Elephas maximus indicus: one gene and its partners. The protein of the gene in region 1 interacts with the protein of each later gene in a biochemical or structural test. Links are inferred from orthologs where the notes say so. Each region holds a gene or a part of one and is shown in the gene's direction. Other genes may lie near its edges. The genes, in order: RIPK1, BIRC3 and OTUD1.

Region 1 (3,819 bases):
ATCCTTTAGCTGACAGGGGATCTCTAAAAGTAAAGAGAGACAGTGCTCTGGGATTTTCAATCTGGGGGCACAATCTCAGAGTGGTGGTGAAAAGACATTTGGGAATGTATGAGGGGTATCACCCCCCTCCTCCCTCAAGATCTCCTCCTGTCCCACTGGCTGCTAGTAGGGCCAGAGTCCACTTCCCTCCTTCCCGCGCAGGTCGGATGACCAGGAGCAGGAGGAAGAAAATGGGGAGAAGGAAGAGGAGAAGGTCAAGGAGGATCATGAGTAGAAGGAGGACCATAAGTAGGAGGAGGATCATGAGCAGGAGGAGGACTAGGAGCAGGAGGAGGCCTACAGCAGGTGGAGGAAGACCAGGAGCAGAAGGAGGATCAGGAGCAGGAGGAGGACCAACAGCAAAAGGAGGACCAGGAGCAGGGGGAGGAGGATGAGGAGCAGGATCAGGAGGAGGGGGAGGAGGATGAGGAGCAGGAGGAGGATCAGGAGGAGGGAGAGGAGGATGAGGAGCAGGAGGAGGATCAGGAGGAGAGGAGGAGGATGAGGAGCAGGAGGAGGATGAGGAGCAGGTGGAGGAGGATGAGGAGCAGGAGGAGGATCAGGAGGACCAAGACCAGGAGGAGAAGCAGGAGGACAAGGAGGAACAGGTGAAGGAGATGCAGGAGGAGGAGGAGGAAGAGTGAGAAAAGGAGTAGGTGAAGGAGAAGCAAGAGAAGGATCAAGGGGAGGAGGTGGAGAAGGAGGAGCTGGAGTAGGAAGAGGAGGAGCTGGAGCAGGAGGAGGGGCCGGAGAAGGAGGAGGAGCAGGAGGAGGAGGAGGAGGAAGATCAGGAGAAGGAAGTTGAGTTGCTGAGGAAGGAGAGGCCAGAGGTGGAAAAGGATCAGGAGGAGAACTAAGCGGAGCAGCGTAGGAGCTGCAAGTGGTCCACGCCTCCCGCCTGAGTACCCCTGGGCGCGGCCGACACTCGACACGCACGGAGCGGCCTCTGGACCTGGCTACCCTGCGAAGCGCAAATCGAAGACGGCGGCCCGCAGCCCGCGGCGCCCGTGCGCAGTGGTCAAGGCCAGGCCTTGGGGCCCGCGAGGAGCCGAGCACGGTGAGCGTGCCTAGCGGGGCGGCGCTGAGTGAACGGCGGTCATTCCTCGGGCCGGTCCCGTCCCCCGAGCCCTATATCAGGGCGGCCCCTTTTGGGGGTTTGGGCTCCCTTCCCTGCTGCCCTCTGGAGAGGCCGCCGCGTCAGCGACCCCTAACTCTCCCCACTCGGGCCGGAGGAAGTTGGTGGCGAAAACGAAAGCGAATCCAGCGTGCGGGCGCGGGCGGGGCGCGCGTTCCCGGAAGGCGGGTGTGCGAGACGCGCCCTGGGGTCCGCGGCCGGCCAGGGCTGCGCGCCCCTTCCTCAGAGGAGGAAGTGTTGGTGTGGGCTCGAGTCCCGGATCAGGGCCGCGACCTGGTCTGGGGCGACCATCTCGATGGGACTGCGAACAGACGCTGTGGTTGTTACTTGTGCTGTGTTGGTAGCGATGCAGGGTGTTATTGCAGGATCATTAAGAGTAGCGCGTGCTCTTGCCATAACAGGGTTCCTTAGGTGTCTTTGGCTGGGACTGCTCACTTACCCTTGGAAAGGGCCTGTCGCACAGGGAGCCTCAACAGGCTGCAAAGACGTCAGCATTTCTCTTTATCTTAGACGTGAGCTGGCAGATGGGAAAGGAGCGGTCAACAGCCACAGCAACAAGAGAGCGAGTGTGAGAACCCTAGAAGGAATCTTCTGTCGTCGTGGCTTTGGGTTTTGTGAAGTGCTCCAAAATCTCGTCAGCGTTCGGAAAAGTACACGCTGCATCATCCTCTCCTAAGCATTTGACAGAATCACAAGGCTCCGGGGTCTGTTGATTTCTTTGGCTCTTCTGTGTTCAGAGCTCTTGTTTATATTGGGCAGAGCACGGGGCTATTATAATCAAAGAACGCTGGAGCAAGCCTTGGGTCTTAAAAAAAAAAAAAAAATTTTTTTTTTTTGGTCTTTAGATCACTATTAATTCTTCCTGATTTACTCCTGAAGTCACCAAGGCAAGGAGTGAACTTTGAAATACTGAGTAACTTAGTACTCAGTGGACTTTTTGTAACCAGCGTAGAGGTGCGTGAGTCGGAGAGACTTGTGGTTGGTTTAAAAATGTGGAAGACTGTGGCTCTTCTATACAAAAAAGGGAGGATTCAGCTTGCCTAGAATGAGATTTGGAGTGTATCATCATTATTCTTCCTGAAAACAACAGCAGTAATGATTAATTTTTTTTCTTCTTCTTTCTGAAACTATGTTGAGCCCCAGGATCTGTTGTACTTCCAGGAATTTGAATGTTAATGAGTATTGAGTAAAATTGGCAAACTATCAACTTCCAAACTAGGTGAGCTACTATTTTGGGTTTATTAATCCATGACATGTTAACACTGCTGATATAATCTGGGAATTTGAAAAACAAATCTAGCTTCCCATGCTTTGGTTGGATATTTTATTCTGGCAAAAGTGATTGACTATGTATATTAACCTGAGTGGTTAATGAGCTTGGCTTCTAACCAAAAGGTTGAAGGTCCACCCCGAGCTGCCCGGAAGAAAGGTCTGATCTTCTTGTGAAAAATCAGCAATTGAAAACACGGTCCTACTCTGACATACATGGGGTCACCATGAGTCAGAGTCAGCTTCGTGGCAACTGGTTATTTTAACTTGTATAATGCTGAGTTTTGAGCTATGTATTTTCATGTTTTTAGAATTTAGCCTGTGCATTCCCTGTGTTTCTGACTATAGCAGACTCATACAGGTGAGCAAGGCTGTCAGGTTGGGTCTCTGCATCTGGATTTTTCCAAAGACAAGTCACTGTTTGCGATCCAGAGAAACTAGAGAATGGATGATAGAAATTGGAGTGAAGGGACAAAGGTTTGATTCCTGATTGGCCATTCTGGGTGAATCACTTAACTTAGTTTTTTCATTTGTAAATTAAGAATGATGGTAAAGAACTTATTTCACTGGGTCATGATGGGATAATTGATATAAAGTTTTCAATCCTACTGTCTCTTACTGATCATTTGGCTCTTCCTTAGAATTCCTGTTTGTCTTGGGTTAAGCATGAGAAGATTAAAATAAAGAAACCTTAAAGAGAAGCCTTTTGGTTGTGTTGGATACCTGAGTAAAATCAGCTTCTGTTAATAAGAAGAGGGGGCGCAATGGCAGATAGGTAGGCAACCAGCATTGTCTGTCACACGCTTGTTATGTAGGGTCATAGTTGAAAAATAAAGAAAAAATAAATTAGGTGAAAAAATTGACCACTAAAAGGTAAATATGAATCTTTTGGTATTCAGACTTGCCCCTGCATTGGGAAGCAATCTGTGAAATTTCTTATTAACTTCAGTGGGAAAAAAATTTAACTGCCATTTTTGAATTAACAGTCATTTGCATAGCAGCCATTGTGCAGAAACACTAACAGATTCCATTGAAATGGACCCAGTTACATCATTAGTTGAAATCGGTTATCATAACATGTTTTCACAAGCTAGTGTGCCGTCATTAACTATTCTTTATAATGCTGTTCTTTGCATGCCTACAGTTAGTGTTTATGTGTCTCTTGGGTATCCCTCATTAAACTACTCTCAAGGTCTTCCTAAGATATTCAGTGGTTACAAAATTGACTACAGGCAGCCCCTGGGTTATGAACATCAACTTATGTACAACATGTAGTTATGAATTTTATATTATATTAAGTGTATATTTAATATCATATAAAGCCATTATATTAAAAATTTGAGGTACATACAGTGGTTTGTAATAACAAACAGGCG
Region 2 (3,600 bases), on another chromosome or scaffold:
TATAACTAATGTCACTGAACAACTTGTGTAGAAATTGGTAAATGGGAACCTAATTTGCTGTGTACACTTTCAGCAAAAACACCATAAAATATTATTTTAAAAAAGAAAGGAAAGAAAACCCTACGGAATACAGTTCTACTCTGACAAACATGAGGTGTCCCTGAGTCGGAATCTACTTCATGGCATCTGGTAGTTAAATACATTTAAAAAGGTGCTGTTTCAATTTTATTCTAAAATGTGTTTACATTTTGCAGATCCTTTGCAACTATGACAATATATTAAAAAAAGGTGTTAAGTTAAAAATGTGTGAGGGAATATAGAGTTTTTAAAAATTCTTTTGCTGAGTATATGATTAAAAATGTGTGAAGACCACAAAATGTTTTAGATAATGTTAAGGGTGAATTGAAAATGCTTTAAAAAGTCTTGAACTACGTAGGCTCAAAAGTAGGTTGAAATTTCCACGATAGATAAACAGTCTTTCAGATATAATTCCAACTCGAACTCTAGCTGCTCTGAGCAGTTTCCTAATCCAGAAGGTACCTCAGTCCAGCTGGATTCTGTACTGAGCGGACTGTGAGCCCTTCTGATTTCCGAGGATGATGAAGTCCTGAATAACGTATGTGGGTTGTACCTTTGGCTCATAACTGTCTTTGGTCTACAGGGCCTATTGGATCTACAGACTCTCCCAGAAGCCAGAGAAACCAGACGAGCAATCCCTCTGTTCCCTGACATAGCTAAATATACTGCTTAGACAGGCGAAGTTGATGCAACGGTGGCAGTGCAGTTAGACTCCCAGACTTCTGGGTTTACACGAAAATGTCACTGAAATTAAGAGACTTCTTTTGTGAAACAAAAAGGCTAAAAGGAGGATTTCTGAAAAATAGCCAAGTCTGCCCTGGGACAGAACTTTCTGGGACAGAACAAAAGTAAAAATAATCATAAAGATTTCACAAAGTTTCAGTTTTCTTTTAAATACTGGAAAACCTAACGCTTTTTACATGTAAAGTGTTTGGGGCTTGAAGGGGTAGCGGTGAGGACTGACCTTTTCCAGTTAGGCTGACCAATGATCATCTCTACTCCGCTTATCAGGGTTTCCTCTGACCCAAGAGCAATGAAGCAAAGGTTTTTTCAGTAAATGCCACGCGGATGTGCCACTAGTTAAGAAACAGTGACGCTTTTAGGGCCATGGAAATCCCCGACCGGGTTTGCCAGGCTACTGATTAAGGGAACTATATGTGGTTATTACCGCCGGAGTTCCCCTAAGTCCTAAGAGGAAAGCACCAGTTTACATGCAAACCAGTGAGGAGGAGGGACAAAAGTCGGGGTATTTAAAAGAGCGCAAGGCTCCAACCCGCGCGGAACCGCCCCGGCGGCAGGTGTCACCGAAGCAGACTAGCAACGTCGGTGCTGGAGCGCGTCCACCTCGGGAGAGCAGGTTGGTGGCGACGCGACCCGGGCGGCCGTGAGTGTGCGCGCGTGTGAGCACGCGTGCAGGCCCCACTCCCACCCGGCGCGGGTAGGACCCAGAGACCGAAGCCGCGGCGCCAGGGGAGGGCGGGTTGCGCGGCGCCCGGCCGGGCCTGCTGCTCCCCCGGGGGCTGCAGGCAGCTGCAGAGGGCGAAGGTCAGTGGGGTGGCATGCTCATCAAACACTGCCCAGGCCCGAGAGGCCGGCCCCAGATCAGCTCCCGAACCCAGAAGGGCTTTCAGATAACAGAGCTTTCAGAGCGGGTCCCCGCCAGCCCGGGAGCCTCTTCCTGGGCGTGCCCCGCGCGCTCTTCCGGCCGGTCCCATCCGCAGACGCCGCGACTCTGCGCTTTCCGCCTCGGGGAGGCGCCCGGCTGCAGGGTCCCGGGGCCGGTGCGAGCTGGTCCCTGCGCTGCCCTAGCCGAATCGTACCCCCGATCCGCTTACCTCTCGGGAGCTCAGTGCCAGCTCTACTTTTGGGGTGAGCCAGTGGAATGGTGAAGCTTTGGCATTTGGCTTAATTCGATTATCAAGAGGTATCACCGGGTCTTTGAGGTGACAAATAAGCTTCGGGACAGAGCCTCAAGCAGATCTTTGGCACGGGAAGGACTCAATCAAATATTCAATGAACAAATAGAGGAATGTTTCCCAAGTGGTCGCAGAAAGACCAGGGGGGTTTTTTTTGGCGGGTTTCCTGGTTATCAGCATGGAAACCCAGCAGCGCTCTTAGATCTGTTAAATTGCCGAAGGTATTTAACTGATGTTTTTTTTTAAGTAACTAACAATAACATTACCTTTGTTAGCTAAAATTTATTGCTAACGTTAAGTGTTGCTAACAGTACTATAGGAGCCCTGGTGGTGCAGTGGTTAAGAGCTCGGCTGCTAACCAAAAGGTGGGCAGTTGAAATCCACCAGCCTCTCCTTGGAAACCCTATGGGGGAGCTCTGCTCTGTCCTATAGGGTTGCTGTGAGTTGGAAGCGACTCCACGGTACCTAACAACGACAGTATTACGCGCTAGGGCAAGTTCCGGAAACTTTTATGAGTATTTTTTGCGTTTAGTTCGCACGGACTTAGGAGCAGGTACCACGGTTATCTCCAAGTGACAGTAAGGAAACAAGGCTTATATAGGTTTACCTGTTTAAAGCTCTACCCTTAGTAAGGGGGCACAGAATGGCATTGGAAACCCAAGATGTCTGACTCCAAAGCCTGATGTTAAACCAGACTCAACAAATTTTGTGGTCATTAATGTAACATTGAAGTCCTTAATACCCTGCAAATGAGGGTACTGTAGTCATACAGGGCTCAATCAAGTTTGCTTACATTCACTTCAACAAACAGTCTTTAATAGCTACATACATTATAGGCCAGGCCCTGTGGATGCTGGGGGGCAGTAGAGATATAACATACTTCCTGCTCTGAAAGCTCTCACAGCCTAGGAGGAGGCAGAAAAAAAAAGGCACATTTACTCTCCAGTGTCAGAGATATAGATATTCTGTGAGAGCGATGGATATGCCGAGTGCCCACGAGGGTGAGGATGCCCAACAACCCACCACAAATATTAGAGTAAGAAGAGAAGAAGCTGGAGACCTGAGTCAATTTGAGGAAAAAAAAAAAAAATCTGTTGCAGTGGAGTCAATTTTGACTCATAGTGACTGTACTAGAAAGGAAAGAGGAATTCTAATAGTGGAAGAATTCAGAGAAGCCAAGGGAGGAGAGCATTTCAAAGAGGGTGTGAGTCCCAGTGTCAGATGCGAAAATTTCCATTGCTTTTGGCAGAGAAACGGTGGGAATCATTAGTACAGAGAGCAGTTTCAAGTGGTGCTGACTAAAGCCAGTTGTAGTGGTTTAAGGAGTAAATGGGAGGGGAAAAAGTGGAGATATTAACAATAATCAGTAGAAGTTTGCTTGGCTATGAAGGGAAGGTAAAAAAAAGAGTAGTGGCTAGAGTGTAAAGTGGGATTGAAAGAGGATTTTGTTAGTTTTCATTTTAAGCTGAGACAGACTTAAGCATGATTGTTATGTTGAAGGAAAAGATTCATGTTGAAGGAAAAGATTCAGTAGATACATTAAAAAAATGAGGGGCGATAGGGTTAGGAGTAAGACTTCTGAGGCAGTGGGATAGGATGGGATCCC
Region 3 (3,819 bases), on another chromosome or scaffold:
CAAAAGGCTGGCAGTTCAAATTCACCAGGCAGCCCTTGGAAACTCCATGGGGCAGTTCTACTCTGTCCTATAGGGCCGCTGTGAAGTCGGAATCCACTGGAGGGTACCGGGTTTTTTTTTTTTTTTTATTTAGCATTTGGTCAAAGCTTTGAAAATATGAATATTCTTTTACAAAGAGGGCAATACTAAGATAGTTCAGTAAAAATGTTTTCAATATCCTACTGTTTTTTTTTCCGGGTACTCCCTCTTCAGGATCCAATTCACGACTCACTCTACCCGTCCATAACCTATGAGTGCGACTGCACACTTTAAAAAGATTAAAAGAAAGGCTGTTTTAAGGGCTTCCTTTCGACCAAAGAACGCGCCAGCTGACTGGTAGGAGTTAGACAAGCCGCAAAGTTAGTTTCGTTTCTGCAGGGCAGAAACACCCTAGGCGGGCGGGGGGAACCACGAGGCTTTAGCGTTTTTACCCAAGAAACTAGGTCAAAAAGACGACAGTGGTGAACGCAAGCAGGAGTGATAGCCCAGGAACCTGCAGGGGACAAACACGTTTAAGGCAGCTCTGTCCTCCACACCGAGTTCGGAAGCCTCTCCGAAAAGCACGCTTTCAAAGCACTCTAGCTTGCCCCAGACAGCGCCTATCCCGCCAGTCCGCCGAGAGCGGTACAGCGCGGAAACCTGTGGCTGTGGCAGGCGAAGCGCTCCGCAGCAGTCACCCGGGCTCCGACCAGGAAGCCCACGGCCGAGCAGGCCATTAAGCCTTAGCGCTCCCCCGCCCGAGGCCCCGCGCGCGCGCCCGCCACCCGGCCCGCCAGAGCGCGGCGAGCTCAGCCGGCCACGCCCGTGACGTACGCCCAGCGGCAGGCGGGCGCGGGCCGGAGGGGGCGGGGCGAACCCTAGCGAGTGAATGGGGCGCAGCGACGAGCCGCACATTCCAGCGGGGCCACGTGACCCGGCCGCGCGGTCTGAGGTAAACAAGCCGCGGCTCCGCCCCCGGCCCCCTCCGCGCGCCCTGCACTGCTTCTCGCCAGCGGGACGCGCTCCAGCGGGGCGGGCGGCTTCCTCCGACAGTCCCCAGCGCCCGCCGCGGGCCGGAGCGAGGGGAGCGGGCACGGTGCCCCGGGTCTGCGGGCCGAGTGCGCCGGCAGGGGTCGAGCGCGCGTCGCCTCCCCGCCCCCACCGCACGCTGTGGCGCAGCAGGAATTTGGCGGGGACCCGGGCGCTATTTGCGGTTCTTGACGCTCTGCAGGAGGCTGCTGGTGGCCCTTCGCTCATCGCTATTCTCGGGGCACTGGGTCATAGCTCTCGGCCGGCAGCGACCGGCCCCCTCCCCCTGGCCCGGAGGGTGTGTCCCCGCACGGGGGCTCGCTGCGCCTATAAGGGTTGAGCGGCGGGTAGGGAGATGCAGCTCTACAGCAGCGTCTGCACCCACTACCCAGCCGGGGCACCGGGTCCCACGGCCGCAGCCGCCGCCGCGCCCGCCGCCGCCGCCCCCTTCAAGGTCTCCTTGCAGCCGCCGGGACCCGCCAGCAGCGCGCCAGAGCCCGAGACCGGTGAGTGCCAGCCCGCCGCGGCCGCCGAGCCCAGGGAAGCCGCCGCCGCCGCCGCCGCCGCCAAGATGCCCGCCTTCTCCTCCTGCTTCGAGATGGTGTCCGGGGCCGCCGCCCCCGCCTCGGCCGTCGCCGCCAGCCCGGCCGGCGGGTCCTGCAAGCCGCCGCTGCCGCCGCACTACACGTCCACGGCGCAGATCACCGTGCGGGCCCTCGGCGCCGACAGGCTGCTTCTGCACGGGCCCGAGCCCGGCGCCCCGGCGCCCGCCGCCGCCCCGCGCGGCCGCTGCCTCCTGCTGGCCCCGACGCCCGGCGCCCCGGTCCCGCCGCGCCGGGGCTCCTCCGCCTGGCTGCTGGAGGAGCTGCTGAGGCCCGACGGCCCCGAGCCCGCCGGCCTGGACGCGGCCCGGGACGGGCCCGACAGAAACTTCCGACTGAGCGAGCACCGCCAGGCCCTGGCGGCCGCCAAGCACCGAGGCCCCGGGCCGCCCCCGGGGAGCCCGGAGCCTGGCCCCGGCTTGTGGAGCGAGGAGCACCCGGCGGAGAGGAGCCCCCGGGGCTGGGAGACGGGCGGCGACTCTGCGGGCGCGGACGAGGCGCGGCGGCCCGACCCGGAGGCCGAGGCGCCCCCCACGAGGGGCGGCGAGGGCGCCCAGAGAAGCGCGGCGGAGGCGGGAATCGTCGCCAGGTCGGATCCCAGAGACGAGAAACTGGCCCTGTACCTGGCGGAGGTGGAGAAGCAGGACAAGTACCTGCGACAGAGGAATAAGTACCGATTTCACATCATTCCCGACGGCAATTGCCTCTACCGAGCGGTCAGCAAGACGGTGTACGGAAACCAGAGCCTGCACCGGGAGCTGAGGGAACAGACGGTGCACTACATCGCTGATCATCTCGACCACTTCAGCCCCCTGATCGAGGGGGACGTGGGGGAGTTTCTCATCGCCGCGGCCCAAGACGGGGCGTGGGCCGGGTACCCCGAACTGCTGGCGATGGGACAGATGCTGAATGTGAATATACATTTAACGACAGGAGGGAGGTTGGAGAGCCCCACCGTGTCTACCATGATCCACTATTTGGGCCCCGAGGATTCCCTAAGGCCTAGTATTTGGCTCAGTTGGCTCAGCAATGGACACTATGATGCGGTATTTGATCACTCATACCCTAACCCGGAGTATGACAATTGGTGCAAACAAACTCAAGTGCAAAGAAAACGCGATGAAGAGCTTGCCAAATCCATGGCAATATCTCTATCCAAAATGTATATTGAACAAAATGCATGCTCTTGAAATGTTTGAAAACCAACACCCTGGGAAAATTGCCTAAGTAGCTTGTGTTTGGAGAATTACACGAACTCAGAGTAATAGCACTTTTAAACTTCCTCGTAGATGTACTGTAGATGTAATGCCTTAATCTTGGTTTTTTTTTTTTTTTTTCCTGTTTTCTCCCCAGAGCTGAAGATTGCTGGGCACCTAAATGATGTTTTATGAGAGCTTTGGGTAATCCTACTGCTATTTATAATTTGCTGTATAAAGTTAGCACTACTTGATTTGCAAGCTAATTTCTCACAGTGTAAATTCGTTCATTCCTGGCAGTCTATTTTCTATAAAAATGTATTTTTGCACAACACTTTTAAAAATTGGTGTACCTTCATCTGTGACGTGTTCCGTTTTGACAAACAGCTTTCAGGCATAATTCCAGAGAAGTGCTTTATATGAAGTCTATCGTTTTGAACAGAGTTTGTGATTTAATAGTTATTTTATGTTGTTGAAATTTGGATTTTACAATTCTTAGATAATTATTTCAGATAGGTATCGATGAGTTCATGTTATCAGATTATTGGCCCATTCCATTTTGTTTAAACGGAAACAGATTTGTCGTTTTGGGATCTTTATTTTTCTAGAAATGGTCAGTCTTTTAAAGAAGTACTTAAGGGAACGTTGCGGGGAGATTTTTTTTTTTTTTTTTTTAGGGGTAGTACCAGCACTTACTTGAATGAGAGTCAGAGATTTGCAGATGGCAGAGTGATTCTTCTGTACTCTGGTTGATGTTTAAGTAGATTGTCTGGTGCTCTCAGTTTGTATTTGTCATTTTGTTATAGAAGGATTTTCACATGGTATAAAACTTTGTGACAAGATAAGCCTCCTGCTTTGTATAGCTACTTGGATTCACCCAAGGTATTTAAAAACTAATAGCATAAATGCCTCCAACTTTGGCAGTTATTTTATAGCAGGAGAATATTGTCTTAATATTCTCAAGGCAAAATAGG

What was found.
Region 2: of the proteins of RIPK1 (region 1) and BIRC3, one has a biochemical effect on the other in vitro, tested with the Homo sapiens proteins (5 studies listed by BioGRID, with this or other methods). The link is inferred for Elephas maximus indicus from reciprocal best matches to the Homo sapiens genes RIPK1 and BIRC3.
Region 3: of the proteins of RIPK1 (region 1) and OTUD1, one has a biochemical effect on the other in vitro, tested with the Homo sapiens proteins (2 studies listed by BioGRID). The link is inferred for Elephas maximus indicus from reciprocal best matches to the Homo sapiens genes RIPK1 and OTUD1.

Annotation. Positions count from the first base shown.
Region 1 is NC_064819.1:43,623,567-43,627,385, forward strand, and holds the start of RIPK1 (receptor-interacting serine/threonine-protein kinase 1), read left to right. Parts: upstream 1-815; 5' UTR 816-1,096; intron 1,097-1,106; exon of another isoform or gene 1,107-1,878; intron 1,879-2,317; exon of another isoform or gene 2,318-2,393; intron 2,394-3,084; exon of another isoform or gene 3,085-3,218; intron 3,219-3,819. UniProt on the Homo sapiens protein: Serine-threonine kinase which is a key regulator of TNF-mediated apoptosis, necroptosis and inflammatory pathways.
Region 2 is NC_064825.1:18,277,904-18,281,503, reverse strand, and holds the start of BIRC3 (baculoviral IAP repeat-containing protein 3), read left to right. Parts: upstream 1-1,305; 5' UTR 1,306-1,435; intron 1,436-3,600. UniProt on the Homo sapiens protein: Multi-functional protein which regulates not only caspases and apoptosis, but also modulates inflammatory signaling and immunity, mitogenic kinase signaling and cell proliferation, as well as cell invasion and metastasis.
Region 3 is NC_064822.1:32,368,896-32,372,714, reverse strand, and holds the start of OTUD1 (OTU domain-containing protein 1), read left to right. Parts: upstream 1-1,305; 5' UTR 1,306-1,402; coding exon 1,403-2,839; 3' UTR 2,840-3,819. UniProt on the Homo sapiens protein: Deubiquitinating enzyme that specifically hydrolyzes 'Lys-63'-linked polyubiquitin to monoubiquitin.